Rattus norvegicus: one gene and its partners. The protein of the gene in region 1 interacts with the protein of each later gene in a pairwise test. Links are inferred from orthologs where the notes say so. Each region holds a gene or a part of one and is shown on either strand. Other genes may lie near its edges.

Region 1 (3,653 bases):
AGGACAGGCTTATTGGAGGTTTAGGGAGGAAAGGGAGGACGAATGCTGCAATTATAATCTCAGATAGAAAAGGAGATAAAGTTCAGTTTTGTATTTAGTTGTATGGAAGTGTGAATATGAGTGTTTAAATAGGTATTCATGGTAACACTCTATGCTGGAAATTCATTAAAAATCTTGAATAAAACAAGTGAAAGTAAGTCACATACATATTTCAGTTAATGTCACACATGGAACTCAATGAAATTCTGGTATAAGGCTTTCTCTATTTAAAGGGAACGTTTATATCTTGATATTTTTTCAAAGAATGAAACCCAGAAGTACTACATAATATTTGAGGATGAATGCATTTAAAGATCAAAGAAGAGAATATTTACAAGTTCTGGGTGATTGAAGTCCTGAGTTACAGCTTATACCAATGCTTGCAAATGCGGTGACCTCTTCAGGACTTGGTATTTGCAGCCGTAGTCACAGCTGCTGGTAGAGACACAGTGACTACTTACGGAAGTGGACAGCTCAGTAGGATCTACTGTGTAGGAGCCGCTGTGGCAACAAAGGAAATGATTCTCACACAGTGAGTGATCACTCCTCTAAGCTGCTTTCCATTTCTTCTTTTTTTTTTAAAGAATTATTTATTTATTTAATGTCTATGAGTACACTGTAGCTGTCTTCAGACTCACCAGAAGAGGGCATCAGAACCCATTACAGATGGTTGTGAGCCACCATGTGGTTGCTAGGAATTGAACTCAGGACCTCTGGAAGAGCAGGCAGTGCTCTTTACCGCTGAGCCATCTCTCCAGCCCTGCTTTCCATTTCTAATTCTAGTTCCCAAGTTAACCAATAAACGTACACAATTTGAGATTTATAGTAGTCATTTTGCCTTAGAGAGGTACTTAAAGGTCTAGGTTATAAAATTTGGTATATTTATATTGCTTTTGGCTATTCCAAGTATTTTAAAAAGAATTAATGTTTTTTTGAATTAGAAAAATTACTGAGCATCTATTTATCAGGCAGTATGCTGAGTTCCTCAGGGAACAGTGTGAGTAGGGACCACTCCGGCTCTCCTATTCATTGCACGCTTAGTGTGAATGCGTTCCGGAGTACAAGGAGGAAGAGACTGCAGTGACATGACTTAGATGCACTAATAAAGATTTTTCTAGACAGTACAGATCGAGCCTGAGGAGGTTGCATGTGCAATGTAGTTAAGTAGACAACACTTTGGGGATTGAAAAGGACTTTTTGTTAAAAAAGCCCCAAACTGAACAGCAAAAATCCCCCAAACCAAAACGGTCTCTCTGTAGAGGCATGCTCTGGAGTTTGAACACTGTGAAGGTTTAGAGTACTGGCTATGGAGTGAGATTTGGGGGACGTATCTGAGGCCTGCTCTTCCTTTATTTGAAGCCATGCACTAGTTACTTGGTTCCATGCCTTTCTTCTCTGTGCAGAAGAGGGACCCACAGAGCAGCAGTCGTGATGGTGAAATTAGGCAGTGAATGCAGAGCAGCAGTTTTCACTGAGTTCTATCATTACTTGACAACAGGAGGTGATCACCTCTCAGTTCTCAGGATGGGTTTGGGGAGAGGTTGACAAAGTCGTTGGGGGCTGGGTGGTATGGCTCTCACCTGTGATCCTAGCTCTTGGGAGGCAAGGGATCCCTGAAACTTTGAGGCCACCCTGGAGTTCAAGGTTAACTTGGGTACAGAATGAGACACTATCTTAAAACAGACCAACAATCCCATTTGTCAAAACCTAACAAGGAATAGTTTGGAGCCAGATTGCTGCATTTACCACCTTGAAATTTTGTTAAAGGAAGTGAATAGTCAGGGAAGGATTCTAGGTAGGTAAATAGTGCCATGCAGTTAGTTATGTTGTATAACCAAAGCAATAATAACAGCATGAAAGGGAGAGTGCTAGAGTGATACCAGTGGGATATGAGACTTCCTTGCACAGTCACAAAGAAGATTGTTATAAAAGAATGCTTTGGAGACTTGTTCTTTATCTCTCACTAGGACCTTGTTAATGGTAGGCAAGCACTGAGACTCACTTCCTAGCCCTGCTTTGGAAGAGAGAAGTCCTATAGTAGGAGGTGAGATCCACATTGACATTTCCTAGAGAGAGGAAAGAACAATAAGGAAGGACAGCTGCTGTAAGGAAGAAGCTATTTTCAGTCTATGCATTCTCAGTGTACATAAACACTCATTCTTATATACAAAAGAACCCAGCCTTCCTTTCTCTGGCACTTGGGACAGGGACTGCCAGAGAGGAGGTACAGATTCACACCACCAGGCCAGTGTGCACTGATAATGTCGAAACTTGATAGGTATTCCAAGTAGAGAAGGAAAAGAGCCTACCTAATACATAGTAGGCTCTATAAATGCTCAAAGAAAAGTCGTTTGGGTGAAATAACTTGGGAGCATATGTATTTTAAGTGTGAGTCAAGAAAAATAAGCAGGTAGAGAAAAAGAGTGGTAAGGAGAAAACCAGGAGGGGAGAATTTGTGCTGTGAGCTGATTCAGATCAGACATCGCTGGCTAAATAGTAACCCATATGGTGACTCTGTCCTGTTAGTGCAGATGCCTACATTTATAGTTGCATGCAGATATGTGTTTTGTAAGTGATATGGTTGGTATACAGAAAAATGACTTGACCTGGTATGTTAATGGGTTTCCAATCGAGTAGAAAACAGGAAGGCTATGTTCAGTAATTATTGATTCTCCATTTTCCTTGAAAGACTCTTCTCCACTCTACTGGAGATAATTCAAAATTAAATAATATTTTATTCTTTTCATTCAAAGGTAAAGTATGAAGTAACAGAGGATGTGTATACTTCCAGGAAAAAGCAACACCAGACCATGATGCATTATTTTTGTGCACTAAATACTCTTCAGTACAAGAAGAAAATAGCTTTGTTAGAACCTCTGCTTGGATACATGCAGGCTCAGGTAAATATGTTTTGGATTATATCTGTCCTAAAAGCCTTGTATTAAGTTTGATTTTTGTATTAACTATAGGGCTATAATAAACTGTTGTCAACAGTTTTGTATTGTGGTTTTACTTTATTTTTTTTAAAGATTTATTTACTTATTTTATGTGAGTACACTGTCACTGTCTTTAGACACACCAGAAGAGAGAATTGGATCCATTACAGATGGTTATGAGCCACCATGTGGTTGCTGGGAATTGAACTCAGGACCTCTGGAAGAGCAGTCGGTGCTCTTAACCACTGCGCCATCCCTCCAGCCCCTGTATTGTGGTTTTAAAAAGTAATTTTAAAGACTGTCATGAGTGTCTTATTTTAAGAAGATTGGGCGAATGTTTTTTCTTGCAAATGAAGATATAAAATGTTTTAAATAAATGGAAGTACATTGTAGTAAGACTTTTCCCACCTCAGTTGGAGACAGAGAGCAGAAAGCTAGAGGAATTAATAACTGGAGCTTTTTTTCATTAGAAACCTGAGAAAGAATGAACAAGTTTGAATCGGACATGGTGGTGGACAGCTTTAATCCCAGCACTTGGGAGGCAGAGGATCTCTTGAATTCAAGGCCAGCCTGGTCTACAAAGAGAGTTAGTTCTAGAATAGCCAGGGCTACACAGAGAAACCATTTGGAAAAACAAACAAACAAACAAACAAACAAACAAACGGATAAAGAATGAGT
Region 2 (2,975 bases), on another chromosome or scaffold:
TCCAGACCTCCCCCGCCTGTCCCTTTCCAACTCCATGCCTGTTTTTTTTTTTCCCATAGCCCATTAGTCAGTGAGTGCTGCCCACGTAGGGCCATCACTGAAGCACGAACAGTCTCCCAGTGGCCATGCCCCTCAGAAAAAGAACCCACTTTCTCAGTATCCCTCAACTGTCACTAGCTCCTGTGGGATGGGACTTTGAACCCCAGCCCATGCTGGGATTTTGACTGGCTTGACTCTGTGCAGGTTTTTTAATGATTTTTTTTTTTAAAAAGGATGTATTATTTATGCGTCTTACTGTGTATGTATCTGTGCATGTGCCCATAAAGGCCGAGATCTTCTGGAGCTGGACTTAAGGGGTTGAGTGGTCTTAGCATGCATGTGCATGTGCCCACGGAGGCCACAGAGAGTGTGAGTTGCCCAACCTGGGTGCTGGGAAGTTATTAGTGGTAGCAAACACCGCTACACTAAATGGGTGTTTGTTTAATTGTTTTGAAAGAGTTATTTATTATATAAGTACACTGTAGCTGTCTTCAGACACACTAGAAGAGGGCATCAGATACCATTACAGATGCTGTGAGCCACCATGTGGTTGCTGGGATTTGAACTCAGGGCCTCTAGAAGAGCAGTCAGTGCTCTTAACTCCTGAGCCATCTCTCCAACCTCTTCATCCCTTTCTATGATCTTAATGGGAAACCTACTCTTCTGGCTTTGGAGCTACACTTGGTCTTGACCAAGTTGACCATCAGATGACTTTTAACAAACCTTTTCTAAATGTTTGTTTGTTTGTTTGTTTGTTTGTTTGTTTTTGGTGTGTATGTTGTCTGTGTCTGTGGTCTTTCAAATTTTGTATGTTTTTAGAAAGAGTCTTAACTCCTGGCTGACCTAGAACTCGGTATGTAGACCAGGCTGGCCTGGAACTAAATGAGATCCACCTTCCTCTGCCTCCTGAGTTCTGGGATTAAAGGAGTACACCATTATGCTAGCTCCTGGTTTTATTTATTTTATTTGTATATGTGTGATTTGTGTCTGCCATGTGTGTGCAGGTGTCCACAGAGGTCAAAAGAGGTCCTTCATTTTTAAGCATGTAATTCCTGAGAGAACAGTTGCTTTTCATAAATACATCAACTCCAGATTCACGGCAGCGCCTTCACGTAGCTACTTCCTGCTGACAGTCGTGTCTGTTCTGTTCAGGAGTGTTCCTGGGACTTGGCTTGAGTGGTGTTGTACCCACCATGCACTTTACTATCGCTGAGGGCTTTGTCAAGGCCACCACAGTGGGCCAGATGGGCTGGTTCTTCCTCATGGCTGTGATGTACATCACCGGCGCTGGCCTTTATGCTGCTCGGATTCCTGAGCGCTTCTTTCCTGGAAAATTTGACATATGGGTAAGACATGACTCTTAGCAGGGCCTGTGTGGTGAGTGACTGGCCCAGTCAGAGCTCTGAGTAGAAGGTGGTAAGATTCGGGTCATGAAGTACTGAGGATGGGCAAGATCAACACAGGTCTCAGAGTTTCTTATAATGTTCTAGAACAAGTATCACTTATCTGATGTAAAGAAGTTTTTAAGGAGAAAGCAGAAGAGGCCAAATGTTCCCACCGACTTCCCCGTCCTAAAGGTGGGTCTCTGTTTGTTCCCACAGTTCCAGTCTCATCAGATTTTCCATGTCCTGGTGGTGGCAGCGGCTTTCGTCCACTTCTATGGGGTGTCCAACCTACAGGAATTCCGTTACGGCCTAGAGGGTGGATGTACCGATGACTCCCTTCTCTGAGCCTTCCCACCTGAGGGTTGGTGGAGGAACTTCCCAAGTGCTTTTAAAAATAACTTCTTTGCTGAAGTACGAGGAAGAGTCTGAGTTGTCTGTTTCTAGAAGAAACCTCTTAGAGAATCGCACCAGTGACCCTTCAGCCCACTGGCACAGCCTCCGGGCCGTACACTTCCCATGTGCATTCCTAGCAGTCACCTCAGCAAGGCAACTGCTGGTCCTTCACAGACAGGACGTGGGAGCTCATGTTGAGATTTTACCCATTCCTTCAGCCATTTTGGGGAAAAAATTATGAACTGGGATTCTTCAGAAATTAAGTGTTGTTTTTTCTTGAAGAAAATATCCCTCCCTTACCCTCCTCCTTACTTTGTAACCTGGCGGATGACAGGCCATCCATTTTTGTAGCACACTTTTCAGAAACAAGTATAACCTGGTCCCATCTTTCTAGGACAAACAAAGCCACGCCTTGATGTAGCCCGGCTAATCATGGAAGTATGTCCAGGCTTCAAGTAACTTGAGTTTAAATCCTTTTTTTTTTTTTTCTTGGCAGAGTAATGTAAAATTAAAATGGGGAAGATATTTAATATTTAATACTAAGCTTTAAAAAGAAACCTGCTATCACTGCTGTGTATCTTGATGCAAAGACTATGGTGATAATAAAAGAAAGTACAGACCGCTTGGCATTCAAAGAGTTAACGTGTGTTGTTTCAACTGTTTGCACACAACTCCTACTGAGACACAAATGGGAATCATATGGACAGTTACAGTGAGACTTACAGTGAGACGTGTGTGGTCAGCAAGTGGGCATAACTCAGTTCCTAGCCTCTGATCTCTAATACAACTCAGTACGGCACTGACTCCTGATGAGGGGGATTACTATGCAGACTGGGTGTGTCCTTCAGATGGTAGGATGTGTGCTGGCACCCACAAAGCCCTGGATTTCATCGCCATTGTCAGATAAGTCAGGCACGGTAAGTCATGTCTATAATACTAAGGCCAAGGAGGTAGTTATGTACACGAGACTGTCTCAGGAAAGAAAATCATTGTGCTACCGAGGCACTTCTGGTTTTTCTCTGTGTAGGGTTGGCTGTCATAGAACTCACTTGGTAGACCAGGCTGGCCTCAAACTCACAGAGATCCTCCTGCGTCTGCCTCCCAAGAGCTGAGCTCAGAGGCGTGCACAGCTACTGCCTGGCAGTGGTGGTGTTACTA
Region 3 (4,272 bases), on another chromosome or scaffold:
TGGTTTAGTTCTGCATGAAGGAGCTGCATGGAGGTCTTTCCTGAGGTTGTCCCGTTTACTATGCTTTTGAGAAGCAACAGCAGCACCGTGCTTGCACTTCCATTGAGGACTTTCAGCGAACCAGTACATACAGAGCATAAAGCAAGCCACAGGAGCCATTTGCAAAATGGAATCCACTTGCATCAGTGCCCTTCTGGTCCTTCTGCCACTCACACCAGCATGGGCATATCAGAGGGTATGAGTGGCCATTGGTGATCACAGCATATAAGAGATATGAAAGGAAACTGCTACAAACTAGACAGAAAGGCCAGAGACAGACAGTTGTTTTCCACCATGTGAGTACTACCCCTTTTCCATGATGGTGGATCAATCCACTGGAGTCAGTGAAGGTCAACTAGTCAACCCAACCTTACCTGACATGGGCATCACTAAAGTCTTTACCCAAATCCAACACTGCACGATGCGTGAGGAACACCAGGCTGAGTCCACAATTTCACTTCCTTGGCAAAGCTCCACTTTACCCTAGGCCTATTAATATATGGAAAAAATGTTCTCTCCCAAGAATGTTCTTGTCATTCTCTCTCTCTCTCTCTCTCTCTCTCTCTCTCTCTCTCTCTCTCACACACACACACACACACACACACACTTCAAGCAGTTATCCCACTCTATCTTTTCCTTCACAGCACACTTGTCAAGAAGACTGTTGGGTTACACTTAGCAGAGTCTGATTTAAGCTCTATGGGGAGGAAGACATTTTCTTCACATAATCCCCAGAGTTTCCAAACTCATCCCTAGTTGGGAAGGCTGGTAGCAGTTAATGCCAAGTCAGCATGTATTTGTCTTTTCGTTTCTATGCATTTTCCTATATTGTATATAAATAATTAGAGCTACAAAGAGTCAAGAGCATGGACTTTTTTCTGCTATTCTGTTTAAGATTCTCCCAATTTCTATAAAATCACAACAGGTCATGGTCATGCTTTTTCCTTGGCTATGAAGTGCTCTTGAGCAGGGACGTATTTTAGTCATTCATATGTTAGTGTAAGAAAAAAAGAAACCATCTTGGGGCTCACTAAGTATCATGCACACATCTCTCCTCTCCTTTATTCCTTCCTTTTTTTATTCCCTACTCTTTTCCTCCCTTTTCTTGTTACCCAACTTTTTCTAGGCAGAATGGAAAAATCCATCTTCTTAAGAAGAAATTACTGTCACTAGACAGCCAGGCATGGGGGTGGGGCACATCTGGGAGTGTAGTGGAATGCTACTAAATAATTAAATGTATAGGAAATATTTACTTCATAACGTGGGCATCACTGTTGGAAACACAGAGTCACATGGGAGGCAATAGAAGAGACCCAGAGAGAGGTGAATCAGTGAAGAGAGGAAGGGATCTGTATCTATGGCACAGCCACCCAGACAAGCATTAAAACCACGTTCAAGGTAGAAAGCAGAGGCGCAGGGAGGGTATTCCTTAAAGGACTCAGGTGCAGATAACTTGCAGGAGTTCCGGGCACATTGGCCTTCCCTGTGTTTGGAGACCTCATACACTAGACTGGGTGTGTACACAGCACACTCTTCAGCATTGTCTGGAAGAACGGTCTCATCTGGGCAGTGTAGCCAAAATACAGAGCTGGTCAGTGTTTTCCCTTCTCTGCAACTGCCTCTGTACAGTAGCTGTTGAGTTGAGAGGTCAATGGAGAGTGCTAAATTCCACACATTCTCCTAAAAGGACAATCTGAGATTCCCAATCACAGCTAAGAGTGAAAAACTGGAGGTTGTTGGCCATCTGATTCCCACCTGCACTTCCTAAGGAAGTGTTACCGGAACAATCAAAGAGCCCATGTCTGGTGTGGCAGGAGAGAACTTTTTGAGAGGGCAGAACTCTGTGTCCTATGCTCTGGATCCCTTTCAACACGTTGTGAGAGTTTGAAAAATTCTTTGGTTTGTGGCCACTAGATTCCAAATTGCAAAGAGAAGAGATAGGACGAGGTATGTCCCATTCTTGTCCAATTCTAGGAGAATGTATACTTCCTGTTTAAATAGTTAAGCAAAACCTAAAGTTGGCATCACTTTCCCCTCTGTGTTCTTTCTCCCTCTTAGTCATTCTTCCTGCATCACACTCTCTCCCCTCACCTCTGACTCCCTTTCCCCAATTAAGAAGAACCTCAGAACCCAGAACTATCTGTGCTGTTTGCAAAGCCACAGGTGCTCTCCTTGAGATCCAGTGTGTGCAGCTGGCTGAGGCCAGCATTTCAGGCTTCCAGGTGTAGGTCTCCTAAGTATTCTACTCTGCTTGTTTTCCCTTTTATTTTTCCTGCTTCTGTAGGGAGTGTGAATTTACCCCTAGCATAAATATGTCCTCCAAACTACCCCTCCCCCTTTCCCTAAGATTCAAGTTTCCACACTGGCCTTCCCTGACAAATGCCAATATAAACTCTCGCCAACTCGCCTTGGAAAGCCACAGGACAGAAGTGTCTGTCTGGGGGAGTGTGTTCTACTGTAGCCTTTGGTCAGGCCAGAAATATTTCAGCCCAGCAGATATCAGTCTAATAGGAAAATAATAATAGTACTCAATGCTCAAATGGGAACCACACAGCTGTCCCCGCGGTGATACTCACAGTTCAATGGCGTTCCGGGGGAGGTCGGTCGGAATCTCTGTCACCTTGCTGTCTTGGCAGAGAAAGACCCTATTAGAGCAATGACACAGCCAGTGATGACATCCAGATCCCGTGCCCAAGAATGCCAGCAAGGAGACCAGGAGCAAGGCCATCCTTATTTATCCATTCACCGACTTTCTTTCTGCATCAGCGCGAAAACTTCCACAGATTCCCCAGGCTCCTCCACACACTGTCCGGATAAGAGAGATCTGCTTGGAGAACGGGCAAAGTCACGTGACCCACCAAGAGATGCCTTTTTTTTTAGTCGCTTCCAGGCAAGTAAAATTAATATGTGTCAATAGTGATTATATATATTAATATGTGACTAATGTGTGTCAATAATCTTCTGCTTTATCCTTCAAGACCTATATTTTTTATTCCTTGACCCCCAAAATGACAGAAAAGAGAAACTTGGTGCATATTTGAAGATATCAGTCTATAGCAGCAGATTCACATTATTTTGCTGCACAGGGGTCCCTACTGGTCACTACTGTCTTCTCCTCAGTGACATAATTGACCCTCTCCCCAAGCACATCCACATGACACATCTCTAACGTACTGATGTGAAGGGAACAAAATTTACCTTTAGTATTTGGTGTTGCTGTTTTCCTGTGTCCCATCTGATATAAACCATACATCTAGGCTATAGTCATCCTGTGATTTAACAACATAAGCTAGTGTTAAACAGACTTGGGGAAGGTGGGTTAGCACTAGGTCTCTGTCGGTGGGAGGCACCTGTGATAGGGTTCTCTGTGGGGACAAGTCACTTGTGTGACCTCAAGCACGGGCTGCTTCTTTATCCACTAGCAATGCATAGTCTTTCTGGCATCTGTCTTTCCTTTCCAGACTCTGAGAACTGCCTTTCCTTCCTATTTTATGAGTTGGCATGAATAAATTTATCATGTCTTTACTTTTAATTTTAGAGGTTTCCTGTGAGTGACACTCTAGGTATTTGCAGTGGCATTTTTAAGCTTAGTAATAAAGGTTGAGGAATATTTAACAAAAGTGAAGGGGCTTTCTACCTTCAACCCAGAGTCTATGAAGACTAAAAGCTTGCACATGTCTAAGATCATGTCTACAACTTATTACCTGCCCAGACCGCCTTCAATACTATCTTTGCACACAGCAAACATCATCTCCTGAAAATAATGAAAATAGATACACACACACACACACACACACACACACACACACACACACTGTCCTTTTTACTTTCCCTTTCCTATCCAAGGAAAAATGACTTTTAATGAGTAAATTAAATCATTTCAAGGAAAACAAAGGCAAGCCATTCATTTGAGGATGGTGGATGTGATCTGGCTTCCAATTGATTGACTCTAATTTTGGGATAGAAAGGTGTGTCCCTATTAAGTATGAACCCTATACTATTAGTAATTTGGCTGAAAAGAACAGTTAAAGGAATTCGCTCAATAACTCATCCAACTAATTAGTATGTTTCAGGTGTAGAACTCAGTTTAGTCAATTAAGTCAGTTTTATCTTAAAGTATGTCTGAATAACTTCAATGACAAGAAACTCTATTTGCTACACCTCACATATCCAACTGACATAGGTTTTTAAAGATGTCCAGTTATGGCTAAATCAGTCTCTGTAAAATGAACT

What was found.
Region 2: the proteins of Appl1 (region 1) and Adipor1 interact in binary tests that used the Homo sapiens proteins (3 or more experiments, as listed by UniProt). The link is inferred for Rattus norvegicus from reciprocal best matches to the Homo sapiens genes APPL1 and ADIPOR1.
Region 3: the proteins of Appl1 (region 1) and Fshr interact in a two-hybrid assay, tested with the Homo sapiens proteins (2 studies listed by BioGRID). The link is inferred for Rattus norvegicus from reciprocal best matches to the Homo sapiens genes APPL1 and FSHR.

Annotation. Positions count from the first base shown.
Region 1 is NC_086034.1:2,152,848-2,156,500, reverse strand, and holds part of Appl1 (DCC-interacting protein 13-alpha), read left to right. Parts: intron 1-2,792; coding exon 2,793-2,939; intron 2,940-3,653. UniProt on the Homo sapiens protein: Multifunctional adapter protein that binds to various membrane receptors, nuclear factors and signaling proteins to regulate many processes, such as cell proliferation, immune response, endosomal trafficking and cell metabolism.
Region 2 is NC_086031.1:48,428,800-48,431,774, forward strand, and holds the end of Adipor1 (adiponectin receptor protein 1), read left to right. Parts: intron 1-1,191; coding exon 1,192-1,385; intron 1,386-1,640; coding exon 1,641-1,769; 3' UTR 1,770-2,452; downstream 2,453-2,975. UniProt on the Homo sapiens protein: Receptor for ADIPOQ, an essential hormone secreted by adipocytes that regulates glucose and lipid metabolism. Required for normal glucose and fat homeostasis and for maintaining a normal body weight.
Region 3 is NC_086024.1:10,950,894-10,955,165, reverse strand, and holds the start of Fshr (follicle-stimulating hormone receptor precursor), read right to left. Parts: upstream 2,838-4,272; 5' UTR 2,768-2,837; coding exon 2,616-2,767; intron 1-2,615. UniProt on the Homo sapiens protein: G protein-coupled receptor for follitropin, the follicle-stimulating hormone. Through cAMP production activates the downstream PI3K-AKT and ERK1/ERK2 signaling pathways.